3 linked regions of the Oryctolagus cuniculus genome follow. The protein of the gene in region 2 purifies or fractionates together with the protein of the main gene of each other region. This does not show direct contact. Links are inferred from orthologs where the notes say so. Each region holds a gene or a part of one and is shown on either strand. Other genes may lie near its edges.

Region 1 (5,995 bases), on a different chromosome or scaffold from region 2:
GAAGCAACACATCTCAAAGTACTGTCAAGGCCTACTGAGAATTTATATTATGGAAAGTAGCTTTACGTGATTTTAAGAGTTACCCAAGTGGAGGCTTTTGATCCAGTGTTTGGAATGCTGAGCATCCCATATCTGAGGACTGAGAGTCCAAACTCCACTTCTAATTCCTATTTCCTGCTAATGCACTGTCTCTCTCTTTCAAAAATAAAATGAAAATAAACTTTAAAAAAACTTTTTTAAAAAGTTACAGCTCCAGGGGCCAGCATTATAGCTCAGTAGGTTAAGCTGTGGCTTCAAACCACCCACATCTCAGGATGCCAGTTCGAGCCCTGGCTACTCCAACTTCCCACCCAACTCCCTGCTTATGTTCCCGGGAAAGCAGTGGAAGATGGCCTAAGTACCTGGGCCCCTGCCACCCATATCTAGGGAGACCAGGATGAGTTTCTGGGCTGGACCAGCCCCAATCCTTGTAGTCATTTGGGGTGTAAACCAGCAGATGGAAGTTATCTATCTATCTATGTCTCTCTTTCCCTCCCTCTCTCTCCTCCTCTCACCCTGCCTGTCAAATAAATAAATGTTATATTCCCACTTCATTCTCCCTTCTGTTCATGATGAGCTCAAGCATCACATTCTGTAGGTCTCTTGGAGTCAAGTTCATTTATACCCACAGAACCACACAGGTAGTATGTCCCACTGCACTAAAATACACTGATGATGCACTAGCTGACATTTCCAATGAGTTTGTTTTCAGTATACTAGTTGGCTTTCAGCTTAACTGGGTGTACTTTCATTGCCATCTTGGGACATTATTAAAAAGTATCCTTATATATCTTAAGCTTCCAGTGCAAAAAAGATTGTCCATATATACAAATAAACACCATAAGATAATTGTTTTTGTTGCTTTTTTCCTTGCCAATTTAGCAAATGACATTCAGCAACACTGCCTTGCACAAAAGCTATCTTAAACACTATTATGAATCAAGGTAGTATTAGCATGAGTAAAACCACAGTGTCATCTGATAGGCCTTTCCTGCTGTTAGCAAGATGAAGCTGGCATTAAAGCCATTTACCTAGCAACAGGTGGCAGACATATGTTAGTATGTTAGTATCAGAAACAATGGCAAGACATATCTACTGGTTTTTTTCCTTTTAACAGACTTAAATGGAATCAATCTGTACCTACTGCTCTGAAACAAAACTCTCACAACTCCCCTAAAGTGTGGGCTACCAGTAATTTACAAAGACAAATACCGCCAAGAAAAGCAATGTTAAATGAAAAGTTTAAAAAGCAAGTTAGTGTGCAAGTTCAAGGACACTCAGGATTCAAATGGTATGACAAACATCTACCTTAGCAAATTATTGTATGATGAAAATAAGCTAGAGATAGGAGGCTTTCAAATCTTTATTTGAGACCACACAGTGATAAACACTGGAAAAAGGCTGAGACACACTATTTTACCAAGTCCTCTAAGAGTGCCCTATTTTTAGCTCCCTGACTATGGAACTGATTCAGGTCAGGCCTCCTGCAGGCCTAAATCTACAAGTGTAAAAAGGAAAGGGCCTATCTAAACCAGATAATTTAGAGGAAGAGTGACTCCTAACTCAAGTCTCCTCCCCATCTCTGAACACTGCCATTTGGATAACCTGCTCGTGATTTCACAGGAAAAATTATTCACATAAAAACAAATCCTATGCACATACTTTAAAAGGGCAGTCAGAAGTGGGTGTTATTTCCCTTTTCCCCACATGCACACTTTGCCTTTGGCCAAGATGGCTATACACTTGGTCCTTATCTACTGAATTAGGTGAGCTTCCCCCAGTATACTAAAAATCAGTCACATAACCGGATAGAGTAGTCTGTTATATCTCCCTTAAATCACTACAAAGCAAAAATACAATAAATTGTTACCTGATGTTGATGAGTGCTTCGTTAAGAACTTTCCACTTAAAAATAGAGATCACGCTACAGTAGCAGGCCTCAGTAAAATCAAGTTCATCCAACTATAGCGTGTAATACTGAAAGCAGACACACCATTCTGCTCCAATAGAAATAAAAACTAAGACTTGGATAATTCAATCCCAAATAAGCTTCCAGTTCCGCTTCATATTTATTAATTTCGACATCCTTCCTTACCAAACTTTCGCTAAAGCTAACAGTACATAAAATGAGCTGAATTTACCTCTACCTCTTCTCTCTTTCTGAAGGTGCTCAGGAGTCCAAAGTAGCTGAGCCAGAAGAAGCAAAACAGACAGAGACCCGGCAAATTCATAAATGAATGGGGCAGACTGTTTACCTACTAATAGTAAGGACTAGGGTGGGTGTGTGTGAACATATCCTACCCACACTGGAGCATCTCAAACTCCTGAAAATGAGAGAAAGTTAAGGAACTGAAAAAGGCAGAGCCTGGTTTGGGGAGCTTTAGGAATGCTTCAATGACAATCTCTGTAGCATATAATGGAAAGATTTATGTTACATCAATTTCTTGTTATAAAAGATTTACACTACAGATGTGAAGATCTTTGGAAAACAAACTACTAGCCTTTTCCTACTAAAAAAAGAGAGAGAGAGAGAAACTAACTGAACTCAACATGTTAAGTGAAACATTTACTCACAATAGAAATTGTAAAAGCTATTTACCATTCAAAAACGGTGACAGAAAAAAAAGACCAAACAACATAAAAACCCCATAGGGGGTAGGGAGGAGCACACCTTAAGGCAAAGGAGGGCAAACAGCGAAAGGCACAAAATACAAACCAAGGCAGTCAGGTGAAACTTTTTAAAGATGGACTACTCAGCAGCTATTTTTTCAATACAGGATGGATTTGGGTGACCGTAAACCTCCAATACGATGTGGCAAAACATGGAACAAGCTCTTTCTCCAAAGAAATTAACCCCCCCCCCCAAAATCACAAGCATCTTGCTAACCAACTGTATTGGACAAAAATTTAACGGGTAAAAATCCGTTCAGGAAGGGCCTAGAGAACACCCAGTTACACCCTTCCTCCCGCCAACACCGAAACAAGTCTTTTTTTTCCCCCTGTTAAAAGTAACTTCTTTTTAGTATACCTCCACCGCCTTGCAGAGCAAGTGTGGACTACACCCAAAGCCAATTCATTCAAAATACTCTCTTTGTCAAAGGCTGGCTTTCTCGTATGGCGAAGTCGGCTCCCTGGGCTCAAGTGACATCGGCGGCGAGCTGGACTCCCGCACATTCCAAAGTCCACTAGCAGGAAAAATACGTTCCACAAGTCCAGCCTGGGGCACCACCACCTCCCGCAAACATGCGGTTTACCGGCGTGAACGCTCTTTTTACACGGCAAGCCGAATGCGGCACCCAAGTGGAAAATACCGTGTCGCCAGCACCATCACCCCTCCCCGTCGTCCCACACTCATTACCTCGTCAGCAAGAGACGGCACCCGCATAACGCAAGGCCCCCCGATCTCCAAGGCCAGCTTGCAGACCCCAAAGCGGCGCCGCACTCGGGCGTTACAATGGGCGGTGGTGACGGCCGCGGGCCACGCGCAGCCCCCCGGACGGGGGCGTCCCGGACGGCCCGGGGCCGCCGCCGCTTCCCCCACCCAGCCCCACCGGCCGCACCGGCTTCCCCGCGCCCATTACCTGCTCCGCCACGGCCCGGAACAGGCACGACCCGTCCTTGGCGACCAGTTTGCGATACAAGCCCAGTTTCCGCAGATAGGCGTCCATGGGCGTCGCGTCCTCGCGGGGCCCCGCGCCGCCCTGGTCCCCGCCGTCCGGGGCGCCGACGGCCGCCTCCATGTTGCCGGTTCCGCTGCAGGCCAGGCGCGGCGCGGGCTAGCCCCACATGGCCGCGCCGCCGGCAGCTCGACGCCCCGGCCTGGCTCCGGCTCCGGCTCCGCGAGCGGCAGCAGGCGGCGGCCCGAGGCAGCGGTCCGCGCTCCCCAGACGCATAGGGCGAGCCCTGCCTAGTGCATGGCCGGCCGCACGCGACCGCCTCCCCGGAGGGACCACGCGCCCAGAGAGGAGACGGCGTGGGGCGGCAGGGAGCGAAGAAAATCCCGAGGGACGAGAGTCGCGTCCCGGGGGCCTCGCCGCCCAGTCAGGAACCGGGCCGGGGGTCGCCGCCCGCACGAGTTTCCTGGTCCCGACCGGCGTGGAGCGAGGAAGCCCCCGCCCCCGGCGCGCTCGCGGGGCCGGCTCAGGTGAGCCGCGGCCTGCCCGCCTACCCCGCGCGCTCCCCTCGCCGGGCGCTGAGGAAACCAGAAGAAAAGAGCCGCGGCCTCGCGTCTCCCCACCTCGCCTGAGGGCGCCTGAGGGGCGGGCGGCGGGAGGGGGCGCCCGGCGGAGGGCAGCACCCTGGCAGCTCAGAATTTTGTTTTCGCTTTCGGCCCGGCCGCGGAGAGGACGGCGGGAGGTGTAGTTTTTGGCAGCGGCAGGAAGTCGGCTTGCGGCGGACGGGGACGCCCGGGCCTGCCTACCCGGGGGGAGGCGCCCGGGAGGCACGCGGACTACAAGTCCCTACAGCGCGGGCGCCGCCGCCGCCGCCGCCGGAGCCGCCTTGGCGCGTCCCAGGCGCCGCGTCCGCGAGCAGGCCGAGGCTCGCCGCCGCCCCGCCCGGCCGCCCCGTGCGCCGCGGGCCCGCGGGAAGTGCGCGCGCCTCGCGTGCGTGGAGTTGCCAGGGACACAGCGGCCGCGATGCCGGCCCTTTGTGTATTTCCAAACAGAGGGCGCACCTGTCTGCCCGGCTCCCCGAGGCCCGCTTGCCTGGCGACTCCACAGAGGCGGCCTTAACGGCTTAAGCAGGAAAATAGAACTGATCGGCGAAAGCGTGTGGAACCGACCAAGGCGGTCTACAGATCCCCCCCGCGGGCTGCTGGTTTCCTTTCAGAAATCAGAACAGGTCACACACTGGGCCAAGATGATGCCGTTGCCAACGATTTGTTTTGTTCACCCTGTCCCTAGTTGCGCATCCTCAACAGGGAGCAATGGCACTGTTAACCAAAGTTCGTGAGGGTTGTTTATTTTTTTCCCCCTTAAAAAAAAGTCACCTTTGGGGCGGCCAGCTCGCCGCCAGGGACACTGCCATCCCCACATCCCAGCGCCAGTTCCAGTTCCGGCTGCTGCACTTCCGATCCAGCTCCCACTCGTGCACCTGGGAAAGCAGAGGGTGATGGTCCAAGTACTTGGGCCCCCTGCGTGCACCCACGTGGGACACCCGGGTGGAGCTCCAGGCTCCTGGTTTTGGCCTGGCCCAGCCCTGGCTGTTGTGGCCATTCGGGAAGTGAACCAGCAGTTGGAAGAGTTATTTTTTATAATTTTTTTTATATTTTTTAAATTTTTTTTTGCTTTCTGTCCCTCCCTCTCTGTCATTGTGACTTTCAAATAAAGAGCTGTTTTTTAAAGTCACCTTGTGAAAAAAAATTTTTTTAAATCACCTTGCACTTGCTTGTTAAGAGACTTCCTGTTCCGGCAGTGCAGAAAAATACTATCTTAACTTCCTACTGTTAGTAAAATGGCGCGATCTACCCCCTTCCCTCCAGTCTGTCGGGATTCCCCCAATAAACTCTTTCGCTTACTCCAGTGTTTGGTGTGTTTCTATGGCGGCCTTACACCTACCCTCCGAAGTTGAATGGTAGGGAATTGGCAAAGTTGAGTCCTGCTCCAGATCCCAGAATTTACCCAGCACGCTTCTGGGAAACCAGAATTTTATTTTACTAGAACACAACAGCATCTGCTGCCCTATTTAAAGTCATGGTTAATCATAAAACCTACTCCAGTGTTGAGGGACTGCTAGGGGGGAGAGAGAAGAAAGGTGATTGCTGTAGGTTTCGACATGTAACCAAATAAACTCTAAAATTGGGGTTAGGCAGGCCAGATGGCAAGAGTCCAACAAAAATCACAGAAACACTTTTCTCAGTATTTTCCATGGAAGCAATTAGTCATCCTTTTCTTTTCTTTTTTTTTTTTTTTGACAGGCAGAGTGAACAGTGAGAGAGAGAGAGAGACAGAGAGGA
Region 2 (6,099 bases):
CCCTTCAGAGTGGAAGGATTTCCCTGCCTTCTATCTGATGGGGTTCAGAGCTAAGATGGCGGCTGAATAAACATGGGGGCCTGGAGTCTCCTGGGACGTATTCTAGAGGAAGTTCACATCCACTCCACCATGGTCAGCAAGCTCTGGCTCACCATCCTGTTCATATTCCGAATGCTTGTTCTGGGCATAGCAGCTGGAGAAATCTGGGAGGACGAGCAGTCTGGCTTCATCTGCAATACGGAACAACCTGGCTGCAGAAACGCATGCTACGACCAGGCCTTTCCCATCTCCCTCATTAGGTACTGGGCTTTGCAGATGGTCTTTGTGTCATCGCCATCTCTGTGCTACATGGGCCATGCTTTGTACCGGCTGAGGGTTCTGGGGAAAGAGCGGCGGAGGATGAAAGCCCACTTAGAACCGGAAAGGGTAGGATTCGAGACGTCTGGGGATCAGAGGAACCTGGAGCCAGAGCTTTGGCAGCTGGGACAGAGGAAACGGAGTAAAGCTCCACTCCCAGAAGCCCTACTGTGCACCTACGTGATACACGTTCTCACTCGCTCTGTGCTTGAAGTCAGCTTCATGATTGGACAATACCTTTTATATGGATTCCACCTGCAGCCTCTATTTAAATGCCACAGGCAGCCCTGTCCAAACATAATTGACTGTTTTGTCTCACGACCAACAGAAAAGACAATATTCCTATTATTTATGCAATCCATAGCCACGGTTTCACTTTTCTTGAGCATTCTAGAAATCTTCTACCTAGGGTTTAAAAAGATTAAAAGAGGGCTTTGGGGCCAATCTAAATGGAAGGGTGAACATAAGGAATTCCATGCAAACCAGTCCAAACAAAATCAGAGGGCACCTGCCAAGTCGCCAAAGCGACTCCCTCCTGCGCCTGGTCATCTCTCAGCGGAAAAGCAAACACACAGGGCAGTGCACCCTAGTTTAAATCCATCTCCCCCATTCCAGGCAGATCCTGGCAGTCACAGTGTAAATGACCAGCAATGTGCTCTGGATGAACCAGGAGCTGTATTTTCTGATAAGATGCGTTCACTTCATACTGCTTACAGTCATCTTCAACACATCCGCTCCAATCATAGCAAAGATCCTCATAAAACATTTGGAAAAGCAGCTAATGGGAACCAGTTAAGGGAAAAAAGAGCAACTGACGGCCAAGACAGCCAAAGGAACCACTGCAGCAGAGGTCACTGTTCTGTGTCAAGTGTTGCTGGAGACCTGGACAACTACACCGAGAGGTTGCCCCAAGCAGGTGTCTCTCTGCCAGCTAACCACACCTGGAAACCGAGGTGGCTCAGTGCCACGCGGGGGCCCTCCACAGAAGGTGGAAACTGGAGGTCACCTCCAAATGGTCACCTCATTCCAAACGGCAACCTCGAGGGCCAGTTCCTGGAGGGCACAACCAGCACCTTCCCACCCTCACAAGGGAACTCCCAGCTGCTTCCTGTTCCACAGGGACCCTGCTCTTTGAGAGAGCCGTCCTGTGAGCCTGGGTTGGTCAGACCCTGCAACAATCCTGTTTGTCCTCCAAATCCTGCAGTGTCCTTGACCAACAGCCTCGCGGGGAGGCGGCTTCCCACCGACCTCCAGATCTGAACAGCTCTGGCTTCTGGACCCGGTGCGCCCTACGTTATCAGCGAAGTAGCCTCGCCCAGGCGGAGCACGGACAAAACGGCCAGGGGCAGCTGTTAGGGCTGTGGCAACTGCGACTCATCTGTGCAGGGACACTTCTGAATTCAAAGACCAAGGGTTGCCAGGTCAGGATTTTTCTTATCTTCATTTTCTATAGCTCTCTTTAGAATGTGTGAAATCCACTAGGTGAAAACCACACGTTCAGCATCGCGGCTACGTGGTTTGGAGCCAGGTTTCCTACTTGGGAGGGGCCCATGGCTTTGGGAAATTGCTCTTGATCCCCATAGCGCCTTCTTTTAGCCCCTTTATCCTCTATCTTTGGACAACGGTGTGTGTGTGTGTGGGGGGGGTGATTTTGTATTTTGTGTATCCTGGGACTCCATAGCGTAGTTTCTTTGTGGACTGCAACCTCAGGTGTACGAAGTGTAACCACAATAAAATACTACACACATCTGTGGCTGTCTCCCACCGGCCTCCCGCATCGTCACCGGTCACCCAACCTCGCCACTTCACCGGCAGCTCGCACACGGCAGGGAGGCTGTGAGGATTCACGCGAAAGCACCCGTGAGCGCTCCGCGGCGCCGGCAGCTGCCGGAGCACGTGGCCGCTCGCCCTCCAGGGCCCGCACCCAGATGTGGGCGCCGCAGCCAGCACGCTCACGCCTCAGCACGCACCTTCGGACACTGGAAACGCACGGATCCCCCAGCGCCCACCGTGCGCGCGCTTCCGGGACGACCGCCCCTCCCGCCCGCGCGCTCGAGGGCCCCGCCCCCTGGCGCCACGCCCCCTCCGGCCGCACCTGGACGCTAGGCCCCAGCTCCCGAGACCTCGCTTCTCCCTCTGCAACCGAATCGCCGCGGCGACCGGAAGAGGCGCTGCTCGGACAGCCCGAGGGGCGGGCGCACGCAGCCTCCCTCGGCTCTGCCCCCGACTGGGGATCCAGAGCGTCCCGGTCGCCATGAAAACAGGCCACACCCCGGCCGCCCCGGCCCGTGGCTCGCCAGTGCGCAGTCGCGTGCGCCCTGCTGCGCATGAGCAGTGCCGGCCGGAGCCCGCCAGCCACGGTCTCCGGCGCCAGCGACGCCGCTGCCGCTGTCACTATGGCCCATTACAAAGTGAGGGGGGCGCGGCGTGGCTGGGGGCGTGTGGGCGGTCGCCAGCTGCGGGTCGGCGCCGGGCGGGAGTGGGAGCGCGCGCAGGTGTGGGGGGTCCCCGCGGTAGCGCGGTGGAGGCGGGGTTGCCGGACTCCCAGAGCCTTCTTCCTGCTCCGGCCCCTGGGCTTCGGCCCCTGACCCGCGGTGTCTCCTCAGGCCGCCGACTCGAAGCGCGAGCAGTTCCGGAGGTACTTGGAGAAGTCGGGGGTGCTGGACACGCTGACCAAGGGTGAGCATGGGCTCCGATAGGGCTCCGCGTGCCCCTCGCCCTGCCGCTCGGCGCTGCGCCCCCGGCGGGCCTCGGCGCGGGGAAGGAGGGCGAACAGGTGGGACCCGTCCGGGTCGCAGCGAGGTGGGCTCGGGGCCGGGCGCTGCCGGCCGCCGCGGGCGGGGCGGCCTGGCTCCCGCTCCCCGCTCTCCCCGCGCCGAGAGCGCAGCTCTTGCAGCTGTTGCAAAGTCGCTCCAACTTCCGCCGCTGTGCCTGGAGCAGCCGCAGTGGTCGTGTTTGCTGGAGACCTGTAGGTGCCGGTTCCTCCCGCCTCGGGGCGTTTGCGGACCCCCCCAGCCCCACCCCCACCCCGTCCCCTGAATCTTAAGACACATTTTTCCCTCCGACCCAGGGCAGCTGGGGAAAACACCAGATACGAAAGAGGGCTGTGCAGCACTCCTCGCTTCCCCCGCTGTCTTGGTCTAATTCAGTTCCTGCTGTGTGTAGATTTCGTATTGAAGGTAGAAATGCAGTGTGTGAAGCCCGAGGACACATCAGAATTTTTATATTGTGCACAAGCTTAAAGCTGGAAGTCCACTGTTACACTGTATCAGTGCCCGCGTGGGTTCAGGATCTACTGGGGGAGATGCTTCAAACAGCAGGGGTCCCAGAGGTGATAAGGGGTCTGCTTGCTTCTGAGCTCAGCAGTGTGTCGCCTGGCTCACTGGCTGGGATTTTCCAGGGTGTAGAACGGAATTGCTGGCAGAGATGAGACCAGGACCATGGGAAAAGAACAGGAAATGTCTGAGAAATAATTTGGTAACTGCTCTGTGTTCAGAAACGAGGGTTTGGGGGAAGCTTCTGGGCCAAGAACTCTCTGGTCTTAGAAGATGGTAGGGCTCTTAATTCCTATGCAGGGATGGCTGTTTGACTTGCTACCCACGTTGGGTTCGATACTAGTCTCCCTGTCTTTGCAAATACGTTTCAGCAAATGTGAAGGAATTCCTCTGTGAAAGGCTGTGCTGTGTTGTCACTGCAACTGTCGTGAATGCTTGGAATGTCATTCCCTCAAAAAATCCAGCAAACTCATTTCTTTAACCATTTTATTCAGGCCTCCTAGACACTGGGGATACAGTAGTGGGGGAAGAATGTCCCAGGCCTCATGCAGTAATATCCTAGCTGGGGAGACACAGCGTAGATAAATACTTAGTGTCAACTAGTGGTAAGTGTTAGGAATGCAAACCTAGCAAGGTTAGGGGGCCGAAGGTGGTGGGTGTGATTGTGCCACTCAGTCAAAGTGTGCGAGTACCAAGGCTTTCCTTTAGAAGTAACTTGCGAACAGAGACCTGAATGAAATGTTGAGTTCCAGGAAGTCTTACAGGTTGATCGTCTTTAAAATCCAGAATGCTCTGCTATCTGAAACATAGTGTCAGCATGACACCACAAGTGGGAAATGCAGCAGCTTGACCCCATGTAATGGGTGCCAGTCATAATGCACATTGTGTAAATTTACCCTTAGAAACACTGTGTCAGTTTGTCTTTAGGCAATATGCATAAGAGGTCTATGAAACAAATAAACTGTTTAGACTTGGATTCCATCCCTAAGATAGTTCATGTATATGCAAATATTCCAAAATCCAGAAAAAAAAAACAATCTGAAACACTCTGGCCCAGGCTTTTTGGATAAGGGATATCAAGGAGGCCAAAGTGGCTGGGTGGAGTGAGTGGCAGAAAGCCAAAACAGAGGACGATAGGATTTGGTAACTGACTGCACAGGAGAGGCACAGCCTTGTGGCCACGTGGGGTTTTTCCTTCATGAGGGTGGAAGATCCTGGAGCCGCCTTTTCCCTTGCACACACCCACTGCACTGTAACTCTTCATCTCCTTAGATTTCCACTCTCCGTAACACCAGTGTAGTGTCTACTGGTATAATTTAGTTTAGAGTTTTATTTTCAGCTTCAAACATAGGTTCTTTATACAAATTAGTTTTTTATCCAGCTATTTCCAAGAAGATTTGAACTGCTTATAACAAAATACTAAAAGAGAATGGCTAAAGATGATAGATCTTTAGAAGAGAAGGCATTTTAGTTATTTTGAGCACTATATCAACCTCTAAACATTCTAGCTGCCTAGGCAAAAAAGGGGAACATAATCAGGCAAAGAGTTTTCCTTCTCTTACTAAAAGGAAGTATATTTCATCTATAGAAAAGCACAGGAAACAACATTTACATTCGATTCTTTATTCAGGTTTTAAGGACCATGGACAAATTTAGAAACTGAAAGAAGTGGGGTGGGAGAGAAGGGGGAGGAAAGGGTAAGAGTATGAATATCCATGTCTCAGAAATTCAGGGTTCAGTAGAGCTCAGTAGGAATTAATGGAAGAAGAACAGGCTGGAGCATATGAAGAAAGAAGTAATAAACAGGGCTTAAAGAATACTGTAGCCGACACTGATGGAGAGGAGAGAGGACAGCGGGGGTGCAAATACACCAGCTTCTTAAGCAGCAGTGCCGTCAAGGTATTACATGGTTAAGTGGTTGCCTGTTTGATTTTTTTTCATACTCTATATTTTATCAAAACTGCAAAAGACAAAAGGGGGAAGCACGCAAAATGGCTTACAACAGGACTTCTTAGGATCTAGGGGCACATTTTTTTTTTTGCGTGTTCAATGTTTTGTTTCATGAGATCTTTCAAAGAGTTTCATTTACAAAAAGTCTAACTGGTTTAGTGAGATTTCTGAGTAGATTCTAGGAGGAATTTGTTCAATAGAAGAGCAAGGTGGTACTCATGTGAGCTATTGGATATGAAACCATCACAGTATATATTTTAATGTCGAATACTGGTGAAATTCTGGTTGGTGGTTATTTGTTATGCTATGTGTGAAACTTCGTTCTTGAAGAACATTTGAATTTGAGGCTTCCTCCAGTAATTACCATAGCCCTCTTTTTTTTTTTTTTTTTTGACAGGCAGAGTGGACAGTGAGAAAGACAGAGAAAGGTCTTCCTTTGGCCATTGGTTCACCCTCCAATGGCTGCTGCGGCCAGCACGCTGAGGCTGGCATGCTGGGGCCGGCGCACCGCACTGAT
Region 3 (5,810 bases), on a different chromosome or scaffold from region 2:
TCGGGGCGCCGGATTCTGTCCCAGTTGCCCCTCTTCCAGGCCAGCCCTCTGCTATGGCCCGGGAGTGCAGTGGAGGATGGCCCAAGTACTTGGGCCCTGCACCCCATGGGAGACCAGGAGAAGCACCTGGCTCCTGGCTTCGGATCAGTGCGATGCACCAGCCGCAGCGCGCCGGCCGTGGCGGCCATTGGAGGGTGAACCAATGGCAAAAGGAAGACCTTTCTCTCTCTCTCTCACTGTCCACTCTGCCTGCCCCCTCCCCCAAAAAAAAGATTATCAGAGAAAAGAACCAAGGAAGGAGAAAGTAATTCTAGTGGAAAAAAAGGGGTGGTGGGGTGGGGGTGGGGGGTAGAAGACATAACCCACAGTCCCAAACACTCCAGTGTGCTTCAATTAATTTTGGGGAAAAATAAAATCAGTGCATATGTATGTGTATGTAAGTAAATGAAATAAAACCTCTATATGTGTGTGTACATGCATGTTTTTCTAAAGGGGAATATAAAACTGGTTACTGTAGGAGGGTGGAGTGTCTTTAATACATCTTTGCATTTTATGTATTGTCTCACTTGCTCTAAGCATCTTTTTATTTGAAAAAACACTTTTTAAAAGTTATAACATTTTGCCTTTTTTGTACAAAAGCTTCAAAATCCAGTGGGTATTTTACACCTAGGGCTACTCCCAATTTAGATTAGCAACATCTGGGTGCTCAACACCACGTGTTAGGCTAGTGGCTGAGGTATTGAACAGCCCAGTTCTAGAACAGCCTATAGCCTGAGGGCCCTGCAGTTCATAACCGACTATATATAGTTCCTCCCTTTGGGACTGCTGCTTTGCCCAAGTCATTAGGACTTCCAGAGTGTAAATAAGGTGCCCTGAGGCTTCAAAAGGAACACTCGCCCACCACTGATGAACTCTGAATACCTGCCTTTCGGCTGCTTTCAAAAACCAATCCCACTTTCAATGGACAGATTTCTCAAATAGGAGGAATGCAAGAGACAGCAGAATGTAGTGGGCTGTGTCTACTATGTGGGACCTCGGACAAACGACATACTCTTTCTAGGTTTCAGTTCCTTCGTCTATAAAATGGGGATGTTTACAGCCATTCCTACTTCGTAGGTCCTTATGAGGATTGAATGAGCGAATACATAGAAAAAGGCACTGCAAGAGCCAGCGCTGTGGCATAGTGGGTAAAGTCGCTGTCTACAGTGCCAGCATCCCATATGGGCGCCAGTTTGAGTCCCGGCTGCTTCATTTCCAATCCAGCTCTCTGCTATGGCCTGGGAAAGCAGTAGAAGATGGCCCAAGTCCTTGGACCCCTGCACCCATATGGGAGACCTGGAAGAAGCTCCTGGCTTTGGATCGTCGCTGCTCCGGTCATTGCGGCCAACTGGGGAGTGAACCATCGGATGGAAGACCTCTCTCTCCCTCTCCTTCTCTCTGTGTGTAACTCTTTAAAATAAATACATACATCTTAAAAAAAAAAAAAAAGGCACCGCACCAGGTACATAAATGCTCAACACAGTACATGGTAGCTACTATTCCGGTGGACTTGTCACAGGCCCCAAGGTCAGCTCCAGGCAAAGTCCAGAAGGTTGGCACAGGCACCGGGGCCCAGGTTGAGAACTACGTCCCAGGCCCGCACGGGTGTGAGGACCTAAGCACAAACTGCCCAAGCGTCAGGAAAAAGCACCCACTCACCCATCATCCTGGTCTCCCCGGCCTGCTCTTTCCTGTCAAGGCTGAGGCGATGCGTTACTAAGGGAGACCTGACGAGACCTGACAACTTTCCTGACGGGGTGTGAGGGCGGTCCACTGGAAGCAGGAAGGATGGAGTCCCCGACTCTCCAGCTACCTGTCCGGTCCTCTCTGATGTGCGGACACAACTCCCGCCTCCGACCTGGTCCGTGTCCAGTCCTCAAGCCGGCGTCTGAGGTAGAGTTGCTCGGGAGACGGCGCGCCGCGCGTGGGCGGGTCCAGCCTGAGGGGGCGTGGCTAAGCGAGGCCCCGCCCTCCGGGCGCCGCCGGGCTCCAGCCTCGAGCGACGCACCGTTCTGACGCACTGCGTCTCCACAGCCAATCGGGAAGCGCAGAGTCGGTTCAAATAAAGACGGCGGGTGGACATGGGGTTCGCGAATCTTTCGGGCAGGTGATCGATCTGCGTCTTGTGTTAAAGATGTGGAGGGTGAAGAAACTGAACCTCGGCCTGTCGCCTTCGCCTCAGCCGGTGAGCGGGAGGGTCTGGAGGAGAGAGCGCTGGGCCGGGGTATGGGGGCGAGGGGACCGGCAGTGCCAAGGTTCCCGGGAAACTGGGTCGAGTTGGGGGCGGGGGGCCCGAGGAGTCTTTTTGTGGCTACGGCTCGATAGGAGTGGGACCCTTACTCTTCTTTTTGACTCAAGGGCTTCTCCAGAAGGAAGGAGGCCGGGCTGGCAGAACCCGAGCTTCCTCACACTCACTGACTTCTCACGTTCCTTCTCAGGGGAAACCAGCTATGAGGACTCCTCTCCGAGAGCTCATGCTGCAGCCCAGTCCCCTCAGCAACTCTGGAAAAATGTCGCCTGCGTGCTCCTCGCTGACCCCATCGCTGTGCAAGCTGGGGCTGCAGGTGAGATTCGCCTGGACAGCTTCTCGCCTGGGCTGTTTGCCCAGGCCGAGAGCTCAGAGGAGCAGAGGGCCGGGGCTGGAACGTAATTAATAACGATAATGAAGTCTTCTACCTCAGTGACTTCTATTTACAGCTATTCAGGCCAACTGAGAGGTGCCCTCGGGTAGTTAAAAGGAAATCCACCGAGAACCTGAATCTCCATTTAGCTGGTAGCTGGGAGTTTTTATTACCTCCTTTCCCATTCGACCTTTATCAAACTGTTGGGATATACTAGCACTCTGATTGGTGGTCTCCCTCTAACATGGCTTAGGTATGAAGAGGTCTATTTGCTACAAGAATGAGCTGTCTCCTTCCACTCCAGGAGGTGGCCAAGTCTCTTGGGATCAAATTACATCAATGGAAGATAGGGTGCTTGGACTCCCTAGCTTATCCCTTGCAGACTGCCCTCAGTGAGTTGTACTTTTGTCAAAGATCTTGAAAGATGTAGCCATGTACAAACTGCTCTTCATTTGTTGTAAAAACTTGCCAAGGAAGCCAAATGACCCTTCTAGAAGGTTCCTAAAAGAAATATTTTTGATTTATTACCTGGGAAAATTATCTTCCTAAAGAAATTGCTATCCTTTTTGTAATGAGAACTGTGACTTTGCCATATTTTTCCTCTTTCTCTGGCTTCCAGAAAGCTTAGGGTCAAATTTGATGATTAGTGCCAGTTACTTTTTTTTTTTTTTTTTAAGATTTATTTTTTTGGGGGCCAGCACTGTGGCATAGGTTAAGCATCCACCTGCAGCACCAATATCCCATATGGATGCCAGTTAAAGACCTGGCTGCTTCATTTCCGATCCAGCTCCCTGCTAATGGCTTGGGAAAGTGCTTGGGCTCCTGCATCTACATAGGAGACCCCTAAGACGCTTCTGGCTCCTGGCTTTGGATCATTCCAGCTCTGGCCATTATGACCATTTGGGGAGTAAACCAGCAGATGAAAGGCCTCTCTCTGTGTTTCTCCCTCTCTCTATCTGTAACTCTGCCTCTCAGACAGAACTTGGGGGTGGGGGGAGGAGAGAGAGAGAGAGAGCAAGCAAGTGACCTTCCATCTGCTGGTTCACTCTCTAAATGGCTGCAAGAACTGGGACTGGGCCAGACTGAAGCCAGGAATTCCAACCTGGTCTCACACATGGGTGTCAGGGGCCCAAGTAATTAGGCCTGGTGCACTAGCATGGAACTGGATCAAATGTGGAGCAGCCAAGACTCAAACTGCACTCCAGTGTGGGTTGCCAGCATCACAAGCAGTGGCTTAACCTGCACCACAGTGCCAGTTCCTTTCCATTTTCATATGCTGACTCAGATCTTTCTTTACCTTAGAGAAATTTTATTCTAATATTTGTTTTAAACTTTTAAAAAGATTTATTTATTTATTTGAAAAGCAGCATTAACACAGAGAGAGAGAGAGATCTTCCAGCCACTGGTTCACTCCTCAAGTGGCCTCAATGGCTGGAGCTAGCCCTATCAGAAGCCAGGAGCCGGGAGCATCTCCTGGGTATTCTACGTATGTGCAGGGGCCCAAGTTCTTAGGCCATCTTCTACTGCTTTCCCAGGTACATTAACAGGGAGCTGGATTGGAAGTGGAACTGCTAGGACTCAAACCAGTGTCCATATAACATGCCAGCACTGCAGACAGCGGCTTTACCCTCTATACCACAGCGCTGACCCCTTAAATTTTTTTTTATTTAAATTTTTTATTTATTTATGTGAAAGGCAGAGATAGTGACAGAGATCTACCAACCACTGGTTTACTCTCCAAATGCCTGCATCTGCTATGGGTGAGCCAGGATGAACCTAGGAGCGCAGAATCTAGGTCTTCCACATGGGTGGCAGGGACCTAAGTACTGACTCCCAGGCTGCACATTGGCAGGGAGCTGTAATCAGAAGCAAAATCAGGATTCAAACCCAGGCACTCTGAGGTGGGATTCAGGCATCTCAACTGGCATTTTAATACCTACACCCTAACATTTGTTAATCAGTACCTCATCTGTATTATGTTCTCTTTTCTTCTGGAATTTCTTTTATTCAAATGTTAGGTTTCCTGGGTTTATCTTCCATTTTTCCTAGCTTTTCCCTCAGATTTATGTTTTCTTTGTCCTTTATCTTTCCTTTTTTTTTTTTTTTTTTTTTTTTTAAGGCTTATTTATTTATTTGAAAGGCAGAGTTACAGAGAGGCAGAGGCAGAGAGAGAAAGAGAGGTCTTCCATCTGCTGGTTCACTCCCCAAATGGCTGCAATGGCCGGAGCTGGGCCAATTCGAAGCCAGGAGCCAGGAGCTGCTTCTGGTTCTCCCATGTGGGTGGCAGAGGCCCAAGCACTTGGACCGTCTTCTGCTTTCCCAGGCTATAGCAGAGAGTTGGATCGGAAGTAGAGCAGCTGGTACACGAACTGGCACCAATATGGGATGCCGGCACTATAGGCGGCAGCCTTATCTGCTATGCCACAGCGTCGGCCCCTTTCCAATTCATTTTACTGAGATTTTTTTCTTTAAGGTAATTATTATTTCTGTAAAGTTTGTTTTGTATGTGTTAAATTTGAATATTCTTTAAAATTTTATTTATTTGAAAGAGTTAGAGAAAGGGAGAAAGAGAGAGAAAGAGAGATTTTTCATACACTGGTTCACTACCCAAATGGCTATAACAGCTAGGGCTGGCCTAAGCTGAAGCCAGAAGCCAGGAACTTCATTCGACTCTCCCACATGGGTGGCAGGGTCCCAAATACTTGGGCCATCTTCCACTGCTTTCCCAGGCACATTAGCAGGGAGCTGAGTCAGAAGTAGAGCAGCTGGGATTTAAATCAGTTCTCAGAGGGATGCCAGTATTACAGATAGAGGCTTTGAGCCTTCACTCACACCCCATCGACCTTTCTCTCTGTTTCTCTGGATATGAGTTGGAGTTAGGTATAGGGATGAGTAGGGTCACATTCAAGCTGCATCTCCCTGTGACATGGATAGATATCCTCAGCCTGTTTTTCACTATAGCTTAGTTCACTTGGAAGGACCCAAAGTGGCTTACCTACTTATCTTCCCCTACTGTTGAATCTCTGTAGTGAGCAACAAAGCTGATTTTTACTTAAGCAGAGGTAATAACAACTCTCCTTTTTTGAGTTTTGATATTAGGAACTGAATTGACTGCCTTGGCCAAATACTTTTATTTCCTTTGGCAGGCAG

What was found. The genes of interacting proteins can lie anywhere in the genome.
Region 1: the proteins of MYCBP (region 2) and OTUD4 purify together in Homo sapiens (co-immunoprecipitation; 3 studies listed by BioGRID and IntAct, with this or other methods). This does not show direct contact. The link is inferred for Oryctolagus cuniculus from reciprocal best matches to the Homo sapiens genes MYCBP and OTUD4.
Region 3: the proteins of MYCBP (region 2) and SPAG5 purify together in Homo sapiens (co-immunoprecipitation; 3 studies listed by BioGRID and IntAct, with this or other methods). This does not show direct contact. The link is inferred for Oryctolagus cuniculus from reciprocal best matches to the Homo sapiens genes MYCBP and SPAG5.

The regions. Positions count from the first base shown.
Region 1 is NC_091439.1:19,610,564-19,616,558, reverse strand, and holds the start of OTUD4 (OTU domain-containing protein 4), read right to left. Parts: upstream 3,780-5,995; coding exon 3,621-3,779; intron 3,609-3,620; exon of another isoform or gene 3,425-3,608; coding exon of another isoform or gene 3,398-3,424; intron 3,184-3,397; exon of another isoform or gene 3,068-3,183; intron 2,383-3,067; exon of another isoform or gene 2,271-2,382; coding exon of another isoform or gene 2,181-2,270; intron 1-2,180.
Region 2 is NC_091438.1:133,964,700-133,970,798, forward strand, and holds the start of MYCBP (C-Myc-binding protein), read left to right. Parts: upstream 1-2,633; 5' UTR 2,634-2,684; coding exon 2,685-2,768; intron 2,769-2,963; coding exon 2,964-3,036; intron 3,037-6,099. Other genes in the region: GJA9 (gap junction alpha-9 protein), read left to right, coding at 73-1,617. UniProt on the Homo sapiens protein: May control the transcriptional activity of MYC. Stimulates the activation of E box-dependent transcription by MYC.
Region 3 is NC_091448.1:44,103,263-44,109,072, reverse strand, and holds the start of SPAG5 (sperm-associated antigen 5), read left to right. Parts: upstream 1-2,031; 5' UTR 2,032-2,173; coding exon 2,174-2,224; intron 2,225-2,477; coding exon 2,478-2,603; intron 2,604-5,806; coding exon 5,807-5,810. UniProt on the Homo sapiens protein: Essential component of the mitotic spindle required for normal chromosome segregation and progression into anaphase. Required for chromosome alignment, normal timing of sister chromatid segregation, and maintenance of spindle pole architecture.